Arabidopsis thaliana: one gene and its partner. The protein of the gene in region 1 purifies or fractionates together with the protein of each later gene. This does not show direct contact. Each region holds a gene or a part of one and is shown in the gene's direction. Other genes may lie near its edges.

Region 1 (8,432 bases):
AAGTAATGTAAAGTAAAGTAGCAGCTCTATTTATTTTCTTTCCTATGATTGAGATGAAAAATTCGATTGTTGTTGTGTGAGACAGTGGTACGAGAAAAAGATATCTGCTGGGAATACGCAGAGAAACTAGATGGTAACAAGGTTAAATGCAAGTTTTGCTCTAGAGTTCTTAATGGCGGCATTAGTAGATTGAAGCATCATCTCTCTCGCCTTCCCAGTAAAGGGGTTAATCCATGTGCCAAGGTTAGGGACGATGTTACTGATAGAGTTCGTTCCATTTTATCTGCCAAGGATGATCCCCCCATTACCAACAAGTACAAGCCTCCACCACCTTTATCTCCTCCGTTTGATGCTCCTGCGTCCAAACTAGTCTTTCCTAGTTCTCCTCCTAATGCGCAGGACATTGCAGAGAGGAGTATTTCTCTCTTCTTCTTTGAGAACAAGATTGACTTCGCTGTTGCCCGCTCACCCTCTTATCACCATATGCTCGACGCCGTTGCCAAGTGTGGTCCTGGATTTGTTGCTCCTTCTCCCAAGACTGAATGGCTGGACAGGGTTAAGTCAGATATTAGCTTACAACTGAAAGACACTGAAAAGGAGTGGGTCACCACCGGCTGTACTATCATCGCTGAGGCATGGACCGACAACAAATCACGAGCACTGATTAACTTCTCCGTCTCTTCACCTTCCAGAATCTTTTTTCACAAGTCTGTCGACGCCTCCTCATATTTCAAGAACTCAAAATGCCTTGCTGATCTCTTTGATTCTGTCATCCAAGATATTGGTCAGGAGCATATTGTGCAAATCATTATGGACAACAGCTTCTGCTACACTGGTATCTCAAACCATCTCTTGCAAAACTATGCAACCATTTTCGTCTCCCCCTGTGCATCTCAGTGTTTGAACATCATCTTAGAAGAATTCTCCAAGGTTGATTGGGTCAATCAATGTATATCGCAAGCGCAGGTCATATCTAAGTTTGTCTACAACAATAGCCCCGTGCTAGATTTATTGAGAAAGTTAACAGGCGGGCAAGATATTATCCGAAGCGGTGTCACAAGGTCTGTCTCCAATTTTCTATCATTACAGTCAATGATGAAACAAAAGGCAAGGCTAAAACACATGTTCAATTGCCCAGAGTATACCACAAATACTAACAAACCACAGAGCATTTCATGCGTGAATATCCTAGAGGATAATGATTTCTGGAGAGCTGTGGAAGAAAGTGTGGCTATTTCCGAGCCTATCCTGAAAGTGTTGAGGGAAGTTTCTACTGGAAAGCCCGCTGTAGGTTCTATATACGAGTTAATGTCCAAGGCCAAGGAGTCAATACGGACATACTACATCATGGATGAGAATAAGCATAAGGTCTTTTCTGACATAGTTGATACTAACTGGTGTGAGCATTTGCATTCACCTCTTCATGCAGCAGCAGCATTCTTGAACCCCAGTATTCAGTATAACCCAGAGATAAAGTTCCTCACTTCCTTGAAAGAAGATTTTTTCAAAGTGTTGGAGAAACTTCTTCCTACTAGCGATCTACGGCGTGATATTACAAATCAGATATTCACTTTCACTAGGGCAAAGGGAATGTTCGGCTGTAACCTGGCCATGGAGGCGAGGGATTCAGTTTCACCAGGTATGGACAATAAATACATTTATATTTTCTTTAAGTCATGACTAGTGAACAGAGATGTATAGGTAGTCTGAGTCGGGAGAAAAATAATCCACTTATCTATGACCGCAATTAAAGCTATGGTCTTATTACACAACTAAATAAGTCCAGGTTGATATAGCCTGGCACGTAGTAAACCGAATTGCAAAACTAGTAGATATCTTCCCCTCACCAGGCTATTAGGGGTATGGTCTGGGATCTTTAGAATTGGTAACGAAGCACTAGAAGACTAGAAGTTGATGTCTAATAATGGTTTGCTTAGTAATGCAGGTCTCTGGTGGGAGCAGTTTGGTGACTCAGCACCTGTTTTGCAGCGGGTGGCCATCAGAATACTAAGCCAAGTTTGCAGCGGTTACAACTTGGAACGCCAATGGAGCACATTCCAGCAGATGCACTGGGAAAGGCGAAACAAGATTGACAGAGAAATATTGAACAAGTTGGCGTACGTGAATCAGAATCTAAAGTTAGGGAGGATGATAACCTTGGAGACAGACCCAATTGCCCTGGAGGACATTGACATGATGTCGGAGTGGGTGGAAGAGGCAGAGAATCCCAGTCCTGCCCAGTGGCTTGACCGTTTTGGGACCGCCCTTGATGGAGGCGACTTGAACACCAGGCAGTTTGGCGGTGCTATTTTCAGTGCCAACGACCATAACATCTTCGGCTTGTGAAGTCCTGGTAAGAGGTTTTCATAAGTTGGTCCAGCGTGTTGAGTGTTTAACCACACACCTCGGTTCGCTATACTGTACATAATGTTTGAGTAATTATCAATGTAGAAAATAAATATTTTGTGTTCCTCACACAGTCACACGTCGATGAGCTTGGTGGTACAAAGCATGTTTCGTTCATATTTGGGATTCATAAAACGGTGAGCTTAAGATTGTTTTTGTTTGTATTGAAGCCGTAATTATCAGAACCCATATGATAGTAGCGGTTATTGGGCCGCTAGTGAGGCCCAAATTAAAGTAAAAAGGAAAAATCAGTCTGACCGGAGCTATATAATTAATATATATCAAGAAGACTCGTTTTAGTTGGTTTAGGTGATTCAGATCACAAAGTACACCGAGAATGGCGTCGTACCGGCCGCCGTATCCTCCTCTTCCTCAGCCACCATCTCAAAATTCTTTGGCCCCTCCGCCTCCCCCGCCGTCGTTACCCCCTCCTGTTCCTCCCCCACCACCGTCGCATCAACCGTACTCATATCCTCCGCCGCCGCCTCCTCCTCCGCATGCTTACTATCAGCAGGGGCCCCACTATCCTCAATTCAACCAGCTCCAAGCTCCTCCTCCTCCGCCACCTCCCTCAGCTCCTCCTCCGCTCGTTCCCGATCCTCCTCGACACCAGGGTCCCAATGACCACGAGAAAGGGGCCTCCAAGCAGGTTGGAAGGCGGGAGCGTGCTAAACCGGATCCATCGAAGCACCACCACAGGTCTCATCTTCCTCATTCTAAGAAAATCGAGACCGAAGAAGAGAGGAGGCTTAGGAAGAAGAGGGAGTTAGAGAAACAAAGGCAAGACGAAAAACATAGACAGCAGATGAAAAATTCTCACAAGTCTCAGATGCCCAAGGGACACACCGAGGAGAAGAAGCCGACGCCCCTACTCACCACCGACAGGGTCGAGAATAGGTTAAAGAAACCAACCACCTTCATCTGCAAGCTCAAGTCAGTATTCTTCAAACGACTACCTAAATCTTTTTTACATATTATTGTTAGACTCTGATATTCATCTTCTTCTTCAAGGTTCCGGAATGAGCTCCCTGACCCTAGTGCACAGCTTAAGCTTATGACCATTAAACGGGATAAAGATCAGTATGTTTCTCTATTATTGCCAAATTTTATTTCTGTGTTATTCTACTGTCCTTACTTGCCAGCTATTTTGATCCCACTAGATTTACAAAGTATACCATCACATCCCTGGAGAAATTATGGAAACCAAAAATCTTTGTCGAGCCTGATCTTGGAATACCCTTGGATCTGCTTGACCTAAGTGTGTACAAGTATGTGCTCTCAATAAAGTCTTAGTGTCTTTAATGCCAGCGACCTCATCTACTGGGGATACTTACTGTTGTAGCTCTTTTCAGCCCTCCCAAAGTCAAGGCACCTCTTGCCCCTGAAGATGAAGAACTCTTGCGTGATGATGACGCTGTTACACCTATTAAGAAAGATGGCATCCGGAGGAAAGAAAGACCTACTGATAAAGGCATGTCTTGGCTCGTCAAAACACAATACATTTCTTCTATTAATAACGAATCGGCAAGACAGGTATCTATCCATCTCGCTTGTTGGAAATTTGTTTTGCCATGTATAGCTTCTAGAGACAGTTTCCAATTTCCTATGTTTACCTTGTGTAGTCGCTAACGGAGAAGCAAGCAAAGGAACTGCGAGAGATGAAAGGAGGCATCAACATCTTGCACAATCTTAACAATAGGTGTGTTGTTTCTCAAATATGTGTATTTCTAAGGAAAGTGAGAAAAAAAAAGGTCTAATGGTTTATTTTTCTTTGGTCTCTAGAGAGAGACAAATCAAGGATATTGAAGCATCCTTTGAGGCATGCAAGTCTCGACCAGTTCATGCCACCAATAAAAACTTGCAGCCGGTTGAAGTTCTACCACTGTTGCCATATTTTGATAGGTTGGATGCTCTTTATTTCCCCTTGCAGACAATCTTAAATCTGAAATACCGAATCAGGCAAAATTTTCTCATAATAGTCCTACATGTAGACACAGCTTGAAAGCTGACACTTTACAGATTATCTTTATGTTGGCTCTCTCTGAAGGATCTCCTGTGGTCGGAAACATGCACGAATAGTTTTCCTATAGGATAGTGTAATCAATCGGGTGGGAAAATAGGCAGCCTTGTTAAGGTCTAACTATACAACACTTAAGAGAGATGTTGGGTCTTTAATTTTTCCCTTTTCTCTGCTCCAACTCTTGTTCAAATGTTTCTTTGCTAGGGTTTTAGTGTATTGCCTTTTGGATGAAACATCCACTAATAATTTTCACTGAACCTGTAGCATACTATGCTATTACATTTGACTCTCCCCTTCCTTTTTTGACACAGGTACGATGAGCAGTTTGTGGTAGCGAATTTTGATGGTGCTCCTATAGCTGATTCTGAATTCTTTGGCAAGTTGGACCCTTCAATTCGTGATGCACATGAGTCACGGGTGAGTTATGAGTTACCGATATCCATGAGTATGGTCCAATTATCTCTGGTCTCTATCATAGGGATACTTTGTTCCTGAGAGAAAAGATGACTGTATCAACTATATCGTTTTTGTTGCTTACATAAGTGTACTTGAATGAGGATAGGATATATGATATATGGGGCTGAATCTTAACTATGGTTGATTGCCTTATTTTCATATTGATGACGAGCTCTGACCTCATACTCCACAGGCCATTTTGAAAAGCTATGTGGTGGCTGGATCAGACACTGCCAATCCAGAAAAATTTCTGGCGTACATGGTTCCTTCCTTGGATGAGGTAGACATGCCTCTCCATAAACTGATCTCTCTTTTACACAAATTTTGACAAGTCAAGAAAAGTTCAGTTTGATTGATGTGTTATCAATTTATGTTGCTGTGCCAGTTGTCTAAGGATATCCATGATGAAAACGAAGAAATCTCTTACACTTGGGTTCGCGAATACCTCTGGGATGTATGTACTATAGCCAATGTGGTTTAAGTGAAATTTTGATTGTTTGAGTTGCAGATTGAAATAAATATGTCACCTGATGTTATAACAGGTACAACCCAATGCAAACGATCCTGGCACATACCTGGTATCATTTGACAATGGGACCGCTAGCTATCTGGTATTGCATCGGTTTTTGTTACATATTCCAGTTGTGTATCTTTTTTTTCTTCTGTCTATAATACTTTGGGATGACCGTTGAGAATTTGGCAGCCCCTACCCATGAGGTTGAACTTGAGGAAGAAAAGGGCCAGGGAAGGAAGATCTTCTGATGAGATTGAACACTTTCCAGTACCTTCAAGGGTAACTGTAAGGCGGAGATCAACTGTATCAGTGATAGAACATAAAGATTCAGGGGTATAGTAAATCCATACATTTAGCCTTTAAAAGAGTAACACGTGGAAAGTTCTAGTTCTCTTACCAATTCCTTTGGACTTTGGGGCTTTGGATGTAGGTTTACTCTTCTAGGGTTGGTGCTTCGAGCTCCAAGATGAGAAGATTAGAGGACGAAGGCGGCCTTGGTAGATCTTGGAAACACGAGCCGGAACAAGATGCCAATCAATATAGTGATGGTAATGAGGATGATTATTCTGAATGAACGTTTCGTGTACCTCAAACTATTGAATCGGTTTTGCAATGGTTTTCCTGCAAGGCTATTGTAGGCTAATTTAAAAGCGTAATATGGCCTCCACCACAGCTTTGTAGTTTGGCAAGTAAAGAAATTTTGATTTGGATAGCTGGCGAAGTTGAAAAACGATTTTACATGTACACGTCCATAATTAATGAATTGGCCATTTACGACTTTGATCCTATCTAATGTGGCAGCTCCGTTCATCTTCAGTGGCTATGTTCATGAGAACACATCCCTGAGAGAATTCCTTGTACAGAGAAGCCTTCTTAGATACTTACTTACACTGTCTTTCTACCAGAGCTGATTAGAATCTGTAATAATATTATACAGGTTCTACTACCAGTAATTAATTAGGATGGATTAGAGCAAATCTTGTACTGTAGTAGATCCCAGTGTTGCAATTGTGGTTATTTTACAGGTTCCCGAAAATATGACATTTTCAAAATTTCTTGTACAAATGAAATTATTATGGTCCACTATGTTTTCTTTTACGAAGGGCTTTTTCTATTAGGTGGGCCTATTATTATATGAAACTGGGTTTCCTCTTGTGTAGCCCAGTGGGCAGTATAAAAATCAGCCCAAAACATAACTGCGAAATTCAAATTCTTACCCACTCGCACAATTAGCGCGTCGACGCCACCTCCTCAAAATCTGTGGACCGTTTTTGGCTGTTTTTGGTAAAATTAAAAAATTGGGCGCGTGAGGGAGTTTTCTATTGAGGAAAAAAGCAACCGTTTTTGACTAAATAATGTAACGTTTTATTTGTGATTTGTTTGACTGGGAAGCTCTGCAATGTGAATATATTTTATTTACAACTTTCTTCTTTCGATATGTTTTTTACATTATTTTTAAACAAGTTTACATTCTTATTGTTTCATTTATTATTTATTTATTTAGTTATTTGCTTTTTATAAGTATCTTAATGTAGAGATTTTATAAAAATTTAAAATGTCAATTACTGAAATGACCAATCACATGTGGACTTCGAATATAGATTTAATATTTTCCTTTCCTAATAATATGGATAATAATATATATTTTAATAACAAAATTTTGCATTTTTCTTCTTTTCATATGATTTTTTTTTTCTTTTAAAATTACATTTTCTCTTTGTATGTCTATTAATTTTTTTCTCTTATAAATATCTTGATATGGAAATTTTATTAAGTTTTAAAATGTTAATTGCTAAAATCAGTTGTGTTGATTTGTGATTGGCTGAAAAAAAATATAAAAACAGAAAAAAAAAAAAAAGAGACAATGCCTTGTTTTTAGTTATGCTTAAATCTAATCATTATTCAAGCTATTGTTGATACATACAAATTTCCTTAATCACTGCTATCAATTTCAAACGTTTATAGATTTTAAAAAATCTGTATAATAACATCAAAGATTAAAATAAAATGGTGAGAATTTTAGCACTAGCGGCCAACACTTAACATCAGTAGCACCACCATCTCACGTTGAATTTTATTTTTGTAACAAAAGAAAATTAACATATACTAAAAAAACAACCAAAAGACATTGCAAGTTTTTAGTAATTTGGTAACAAAATTGCAGTAATTCACGTGAATCCCCAATAATTTGATCTCATGCACACATAGTGGGGTCCAATCTTTTTTGTTCATTTGCCACTTCTCGCCAGCCTCTCCTCTTTTGTTCTCTTCACTACCTCCAAACTTCCCAAGAATCTCTCTTTCTCTCCTCTCTTCTCTCTCGCCTCTTCTTTAATTTCCTCTGAAGAGAATCCTCCTTACGAAAATGTTCAAGAAAGCAACATTGAATCTTTCACTTGCTCCTTTGCTACTTGTTTTTCTTTTCCTTCTCTCGTGTGTTGTTCATGGCGTCGATGAGAAGAAGATTCTCAGTGTACATAACAACATCTGGTCTCCCAAGAAATCATACGAAGCTTCAACTTCATGTTTTTCTCGCAGTCTTGGTCAGTTCTATTTTCATCAAAGGCTCACCAACCGTAGAGATACTGTTTCTTTTGCTTTAGTTTAATATTTAATGGCGTAATTTAAGGTTAAACTCTTAGTTAAAGTCATTAGCTTTTACACTACTTTATATTATCCTTTTTCCTTGTATTGATTTGGGATTAGTATAGTTACTTTTTACAAAGAGACAAGATTTGTTGATCTTTATGAGAACTGATGATTCTGCTTTGAAAAACTTAGGAAAAGGAAGAGAATCCACTACATTGGAGATGAAACATAGAGAACTTTGCTCAGGAAAGACTATAGATTTGGGTAAGAAGATGAGAAGAGCCTTAGTTTTGGATAACATTCGAGTTCAGTCACTTCAACTCAAAATCAAAGCAATGACCTCAAGCACCACTGAACAATCTGTTTCCGAAACTCAGATTCCGTTAACCTCAGGGATAAAACTTGAGTCTTTGAACTACATCGTTACAGTTGAATTAGGAGGGAAAA
Region 2 (6,759 bases), about 26 Mb from region 1:
TTTTAAATGTATCAATGTGTTGCTAAAACAGTCTGAAAGGGTAATTTTATGTGATATGGACTGTAATTTTTCGAAAAGTTCACAAGTGCCATTGGTAAATGATATATAAACTAATAACATCGAGAGGCGCACTATATGAAAAATGGAGGAAGCCATGCCATGAAAGAACGTCGATGCATTCAAAATGAGATTTGAAATTCCTAATTAAAGTTAAGACCAGTTGTATTAGTGTTATGCAGAGTAGTATATTATTCTACTTGGATTAATTCACAGTAAAGAAGAGATATACATAATTCAAAGGCTTATTGTTATTTCAAAGCAAAACATGAAGAGGTCACCCAGTTAAGAAGAGATACATAATAAATTCAGAGGCTTATAACATGAAAAGGTATTCGACAATAGATGAAATGAAAAGAGAAGACAAAGAGTACATAAGAAAGCGCGCACACACAGACACAGACACAGACCAAATTAATAGTTAATCATTCACTTGGGAGGGCGAGTAGCGTGAACTATCCCGTTTTCCTTTAACAGCTTAGTCTCCAACTTCACGAGAGACACGAAAGCAGGCCAATTCTCGGTACGATTGTGCATTTGGTCGCAGTTTGGGTCTACTTTCTTCAAGTAGGAGTGAGCAGCAGCTATGCCGATAGTGTTACCAATGATATCCACAAAGAGTGCAACCTCAGAGGTAGAGAAACTCATCTCCTTTCTATGCATCCACATAAAGATCTAACAACAACCAAAAAAACAAACTTTCATAAATCCTAACACAATGATCTCTAACTAGAAAAGAAATAGAGCGATGAATACAAAAGTTAGATAGATGAGAAAGATACCTGGAGAGCATCTACATGTTTGCCTTCCATGTAAGCTGCTTTGCCGAGCTGACGAGATCCGCCTGGGTGACGGGAACACCCTTCTTCTCTTCCTCCGCGATGATGAATTCTAAGGTCTCTCGGGTAAGAGACCTCAGCTTCTTGAAAATACCACTCTTTGCATTCTCAGCATCACAAGAGGAAGCAGAAGAAGAAGCTCCGTTGATCTGCCTGTTCCCTTTGTTCTCAGCAGAAGAAGAAAACGGAGCCGTTCTCGCGATCTTAATCTCAGCAGAAGAAGAAGAAAACGGAGCCATTGTTCTCGTAAGCGTAGAGATCTTCATCTCTCTTTTCCATAGATGAAGAGAACCTGATGATACCATTCGGCGCAAGGCCAACATTTTCCAAACCCTAATTTTGATAACCCTAATTCTCTAATATATAAAACAATCAAGTTGCCTTGTTAAAATCAGGATATGATCTCTCTTATATTAGTAGGTTACTTACACAATTACCTACATCTTTGTCGATTTGTCAGTTTGACTTATGAATCAGTCTACTAGATTGTAAAAATAAATAAAACGATGAAATGTCTATAATACCCCTAACTCTACACACGTGTGAACTTTTTGAATAGTACTGGACCCGGGTCAACCACACACAGTAGACACGAGCCTTCTTCTTCTTCTCTAAGCGAGTGAAGTAAGCTTACCAGTGGCAGTGAGTGAGCTCTTACCAGTGTTTAGGGTCTTCTGCAATTTTCCTTGTTTTGATCGGGAGCTTGATCAAGACTACTGATGCTGAGATTTACGAAAATTGCCAACGGTCTCTATGTTCCCGGTGACAGTGAAGCTCTTTACGCTTCCAAGTTTCAAGACTCCACTGCTACTTTGACTTCGCCTATCTCGCTGGTACAAGGTCTGTGGAGGTTACAGTATGGGTGATAACCTTTTCCTTCTGCGAGGAAAGCATTGTCTCGGCTTTTACTTTTGTTCATAACTTGTGGATATTGGATAGTAAAGCCTACCACTAATGGCATAACATTCAGGATGCTTCTTGGTGTGCTATGATTTGTTATAAGCGAATCACTCTCGTTGGCTAAACACTTTGAGAAAATGACTCTTAAAATGCTCTCTTGGGCTATACTGGAAACTTGCTGTGTTCAGTGGATCTTCAGGTCCTTGTTGACAACCATTAACAAGCTTAAGGTAAGAATAAAGAAACCAACAATACTTTCAGTCCTTTGATGATTTATAATTCCATAACAGACTAAGGGCAGTGCATATAGATATCTTTCGTACTCATCTGCTTTTTCTGGTCTCCATCACAAAAGCCAACTAGGTAATCATATCAATCTCTCTTTACCGTTTACTCGACCTTTTCCAATCAGGTGCTTCTGGTGTGTCTACTACTATCAGTTTTAGGTCTTTGTATACCTGATCTTATCTGCTACTGAGGCTTGTAAAAGTGATTAAAACTGTGACATTTACTCTAAGAGAAGTAACCTGTTTGATGCATTTCCCTAATATACCGGTGTGGAAAAGTGTAGGTATCTGTACTCAGCTGAAATGGTGGACGATTTTGAAGAAGATGAACTCTCATTGACTGAAAGCGGGTTGAAGAGTGAAGATGGCGTTATTATCGAGATGAATGTCTCCTGGATGCTTTTATTATCATGTTTGGGAATTTACCAAGGGAGAGGTATCAGAATCTATCTTAGAAGGTTACATTTAGCTCAAGCTTGCATCAACATCTTTACTTAGAGCTCTACGGGTTTTAGTGTGTTTGAAGTTTCTTAACTCCTAGTATAATTAGAATCTTCTGCAGCAGACTTTAGAGTTTTGGGATGTAGAGCTAACCAGAGTCGGTTTGTTTAAACTAGAATCTTTTTATGTAGCAGACTTGTTCAGTACCTGAATACCAGTTTTAAATTACCGTCAGATGTTGATCTTGTTGGTAATAATGGAGAAACGGAAGAATAATTAGACGAAACAAACTCTTTAAGAACGTATCTTTCAGTTTTCCATCACAAATTTTCTTACAAGCTACAAAAATCGAACTATATATAACTGAACCGAATTTAAACCGGAGGGAGGGTTTGACTTTGGTCAATCACATTTCCAATGATACCGTCGTTTGGTTTGGGGAAGCCTCGTCGTACAAATACGACGTCGTTTAAGGAAAGCCCTCCTTAACCCCAGTTATAAGCTCAAAGTTGTACTTGACCTTTTTAAAGAAGCACGAAACGAAAAACCCTAAAATTCCCAAGCAGAGAAAGAGAGACAGAGCAAGTACAGATTTCAACTAGCTCAAGATGATCATCCCTGTTCGTTGCTTTACTTGTGGAAAGGTTGATATTTTCCCCTTCGCTTTGGTCTTATTTAGGGTTTTACTCCGTCTTTATAGGGTTTTAGTTACTCCAAATTTGGCTAAGAAGAGATCTTTACTCTCTGTATTTGACACGAATGTTTTTAATCGGTTGGATACATGTTGGGTCGATTAGAGAAATAAAGTATTGAGCTTTACTAAGCTTTCACCTTGTGATTGGTTTAGGTGATTGGAAACAAATGGGATCAGTATCTTGATCTTCTCCAGCTCGACTACACTGAAGGGTAAGCTTACAATGATTCTCACTTCTTGCTGCTCTAATCATCATACTTTGTGTCAAAAAGAGAGTAATTGCTTTGCGTTTTAGAGAAATTAGCCCAGATTTCGTATTGGGTCTGTGAAGTTTCATATTAGCTAACACACTTCTCTAATTGATAACAGAAGCTATAAAATAGATTTGCTGATGAAGGAGTTAGCTTTTTATAATCTTCTGTGTTTGTGTTTTACTGTCTGTGTCATTGGAAGAGACTATGTCCTGCCTATATAATCTCTATGTGCCTATCTAGATTTTCTATACAATTGATATTTGATAGAAGTAGAAAGTAAGACTTAAGGTCTTTTGATTAGACTTGTGCCCATCTACATGATTCTTATTGGACTAATCATTCTTTGTGTGAAAATAGAATACTTTGTCTGAACATGAGAGAATGGTTCATAATACGTGTGAAGTATGGGATTAGTTCAACAATTTCGCTATTGGAGAAGCAAACCAAGGGTTAATCGTTTATAGGGTTAAGCTAATGCTCTGCTCTTTATATGTTATTGGAACAGACTATTGTTGTGCCTATCTTGTTTAGTTGTAGATTCTATCTCGACTGTTATAAGTATGACTGAAGGCTTGATGACTTATGATTCTCTTTACACCTGTAGAAGGATTTAAGCTTGGTGTCTAGATATTCAATCTGTGTTGGTTTTGTCTTTCTTTTGGCTCTTAGTGTTGTTCAATCTCCTCAATAGGTATGAAGTTACAATATCCTTATTATTTTGCAGGGACGCACTTGATGCACTCCAGCTAGTCAGATACTGCTGCAGGCGTATGCTAATGACTCATGTTGATCTGATTGAGAAGCTTCTCAACTACAACAGTATACTCTCCAAACTCTTATCATATGTTGTGTATCTTTTGACTCGGACGTTATTGTCCTTTTCGATTTATTTACTGGTACCCACGTACTTTTCCTTGCAGCTCTGGAGAAATCAGACAACAGTTAGAAGAGGATGCAAATCTGCTGAAAAAGTTTTCCTCTTTAGAGGCTTAAATATTAGTATGTATGAAAACATTTGGTGTATGTGGTGTAGACCCTTCAACTCCATCTAAAATTATATATGTGTGTCAGTTACTTTCTCGTGTGATTCAATCTCATGATTTCCTGACCTTGAAGATTTCTCCTTTGGATTCATGTTTCATTAGTATTATTGAGGTGATTTTCATGGCCATAACTGAAAACCTTTGAGAAAAGAGTTAAAAGTCACTGGTCTTCATAACCTTTTGTATACAAAACGCAAGTACAACAGAATCGTCCAACTGTTTAGTGTGTTCAGGCTCGGGCAAGAGTTTTCAAATCTTCCAAACGAACGGTTAAAATAAAATGTATAACCAAAGAAGAATGAAGAACACAGTGTAATCATATCTGGCTTATGTAACCCGACCCCGTTCTTAAGGGAACATATCACATTCAAATCTCCAATAACGATCCCAAACCACATAAGATGTGTTATTAAGATCCAATTAATCGGGACTAAAACCAATTCGAGAGAACAAACGAACGATGACTCAGTACCCATTAATCTGTCTTCCTGTTGTTGTCGATCCTACCAACCGAGAGAAGGGTTGCTGCTGCGTTTGGTTGTTGCGGCTTTTGTTAAAACTGTTGCTGCTTCCAATTCCAGATTTAGGGTCAGAGAAAGGAGAATAGGCTTGAGCTAGCTCAAGAGCAGAAGCTGCTTTTCCGTGACGAATCCCTGTTCCATTTGGTGAATCCAGTTTCTGGGGAACCGGCTTTCGCCATGTCTCTGGTGATGGATGTCTTGTCTTCTCCTGAGTCTGCTGTTGCTGTCTTGCGCTCTTGTTTTCATTTTCACGCCAGTTTCTCCTCTGAGTTTCGGATCTGGCAATGTCGCTTACATTTCGCCCATCCTTTTGGTCGAATTTCCTCGTTCTCATGTCACGTGGAGAACTCACTGGCCTTTGACTTGCATGCTCTGGAACTCTTTCAATCGGTTTGAGGACCATCCTTTTGATATAAAAGAAAAAACAAAAACAGAACTTTAAATTAGATAGTTGGTCTCAATGGAATCGTAAGTGTTGGATCGCAGAAAGTATACACAGAATGTGAGTGGGTAGAGAAACCCGTTCTACCTATCTGTCGGTTGATCCAATTTGTGATGCTCGGGCTCATCAATGCCTCTCTCCTTCAACACCTGTCCAGGAAATCAAATGATGATAAACAAATGGACAACATAACAAGAGTGAGTTATACAACAAGATGAAACAAACTGCACTCACCAGCTCTCGTGGTCTGGCACCACCAAAAACCGCACTTCTGCACCAGCCAGTACAAATTTTAAGAACAATTCTTCTATATAACTATAGTTATGTCCCCAAGCTCCAAAATAATTATTACCGAGCTGGGACAAAAAAATGTAAGTACCACATTGTTACCTGTCCTTTTCAGTTTTAACTTCTGGCTGCTCAAGCAACTGTGCCACAGGCTTCAGATTCAACTTGGGCCGCTCAGCCGGCTGGTTAGGAATCTCATCTGTAGACAAACCAGATTTTGAATTGTTGAAACTTTTCTGTGTCGCATTTTCACGTTGTATAAGGACTGAAGCACTATTTTCCTGCAGATACAAAACTGAGGTATCAGAAACATAGTTGAGGAAAAAAGAAACCTGAAAACTAAAGTGGCAGTTCAGAAACTTGTAACAACTATACCAGTTTTTCGTCATTCACAGGTTTCTCCACACTTTCAAGTGGTTTTGTCCGAGGAAGCAGGTTCAGCTTAGGTCTTTCCACAACTTCAGAAGGGGCAGTTGGCTGCACCAAATGTCCAGCAGGCTTAACGTCAGAGTATTTTGGATGAGGTTTATCGTTGGTGTTTGCTACAATTTTCGCTTCCTTAGCATCCACATAAGTTGGACCAGGGATTTTCTCATACTCACGGGAGAGTTTTTTCCCACGCTGGATCCCATCTTCAGCAATCAGTGCCCGTTCTACATGTGTTCCATGTGGCTCAACCCCTTGACTAATCACAGGGCTATTAGTCTTATAAACTCTGGTATCTATCTCTGAATGCTTAACAACATCAAAACCCATCTGAGAAGGAACCAAAAGCTTGGACTGCCATCCTCCTGAAGACACTTGGTCAAGCGCACTTGTATGGACCAAATTCGAAACAGCTGGTTGTTTAGTCCATGGAGACTGTCCAGGCTCATTGTTAGCAACTGATACCTCCTTCCTCCCATTCCAAATATTAGAGTGATTTCCTGACACTGAGTTCTCAATATTACCAGTCCCAGAATGAGTCAAAGGACCAGCTGCCCAACCACTATG

The links. Proteins that work in one complex are often made in the same cells at the same time.
Region 2: the proteins of ELF7 (region 1) and NRPB10 fractionate together in Arabidopsis thaliana (co-fractionation; one large-scale study listed by BioGRID). This does not show direct contact.

What each region holds. Positions count from the first base shown.
Region 1 is NC_003070.9:29,998,281-30,006,712, reverse strand, and holds ELF7 (hydroxyproline-rich glycoprotein family protein), read left to right. Parts: upstream 1-2,629; 5' UTR 2,630-2,743; coding exon 2,744-3,339; intron 3,340-3,417; coding exon 3,418-3,486; intron 3,487-3,566; coding exon 3,567-3,674; intron 3,675-3,758; coding exon 3,759-3,939; intron 3,940-4,028; coding exon 4,029-4,105; intron 4,106-4,188; coding exon 4,189-4,308; intron 4,309-4,737; coding exon 4,738-4,843; intron 4,844-5,075; coding exon 5,076-5,162; intron 5,163-5,267; coding exon 5,268-5,336; intron 5,337-5,424; coding exon 5,425-5,493; intron 5,494-5,585; coding exon 5,586-5,729; intron 5,730-5,826; coding exon 5,827-5,970; 3' UTR 5,971-6,175; downstream 6,176-8,432. Other genes in the region: AT1G79740 (hAT transposon superfamily), read left to right, coding at 86-1,639, 1,946-2,346; AT1G79720 (Eukaryotic aspartyl protease family protein), read left to right, coding at 7,762-7,939, 8,178-8,432. UniProt on the Arabidopsis thaliana protein: Component of the PAF1 complex (PAF1C) which is involved in histone modifications such as methylation on histone H3 'Lys-4' (H3K4me3). Involved in regulation of flowering time.
Region 2 is NC_003070.9:3,859,388-3,866,146, forward strand, and holds NRPB10 (RNA polymerases N / 8 kDa subunit), read left to right. Parts: upstream 1-3,011; 5' UTR 3,012-3,132; coding exon 3,133-3,168; intron 3,169-3,371; coding exon 3,372-3,430; intron 3,431-4,196; coding exon 4,197-4,291; intron 4,292-4,392; coding exon 4,393-4,418; 3' UTR 4,419-4,687; downstream 4,688-6,759. Other genes in the region: AT1G11470 (Pentatricopeptide repeat (PPR) superfamily protein), read right to left, coding at 487-732, 840-901, 991-1,135; AT1G11480 (eukaryotic translation initiation factor-like protein), read right to left, coding at 4,981-5,440, 5,566-5,627, 5,713-5,749, 5,869-6,047, 6,142-6,759. UniProt on the Arabidopsis thaliana protein: DNA-dependent RNA polymerase catalyzes the transcription of DNA into RNA using the four ribonucleoside triphosphates as substrates. Component of RNA polymerase II which synthesizes mRNA precursors and many functional non-coding RNAs.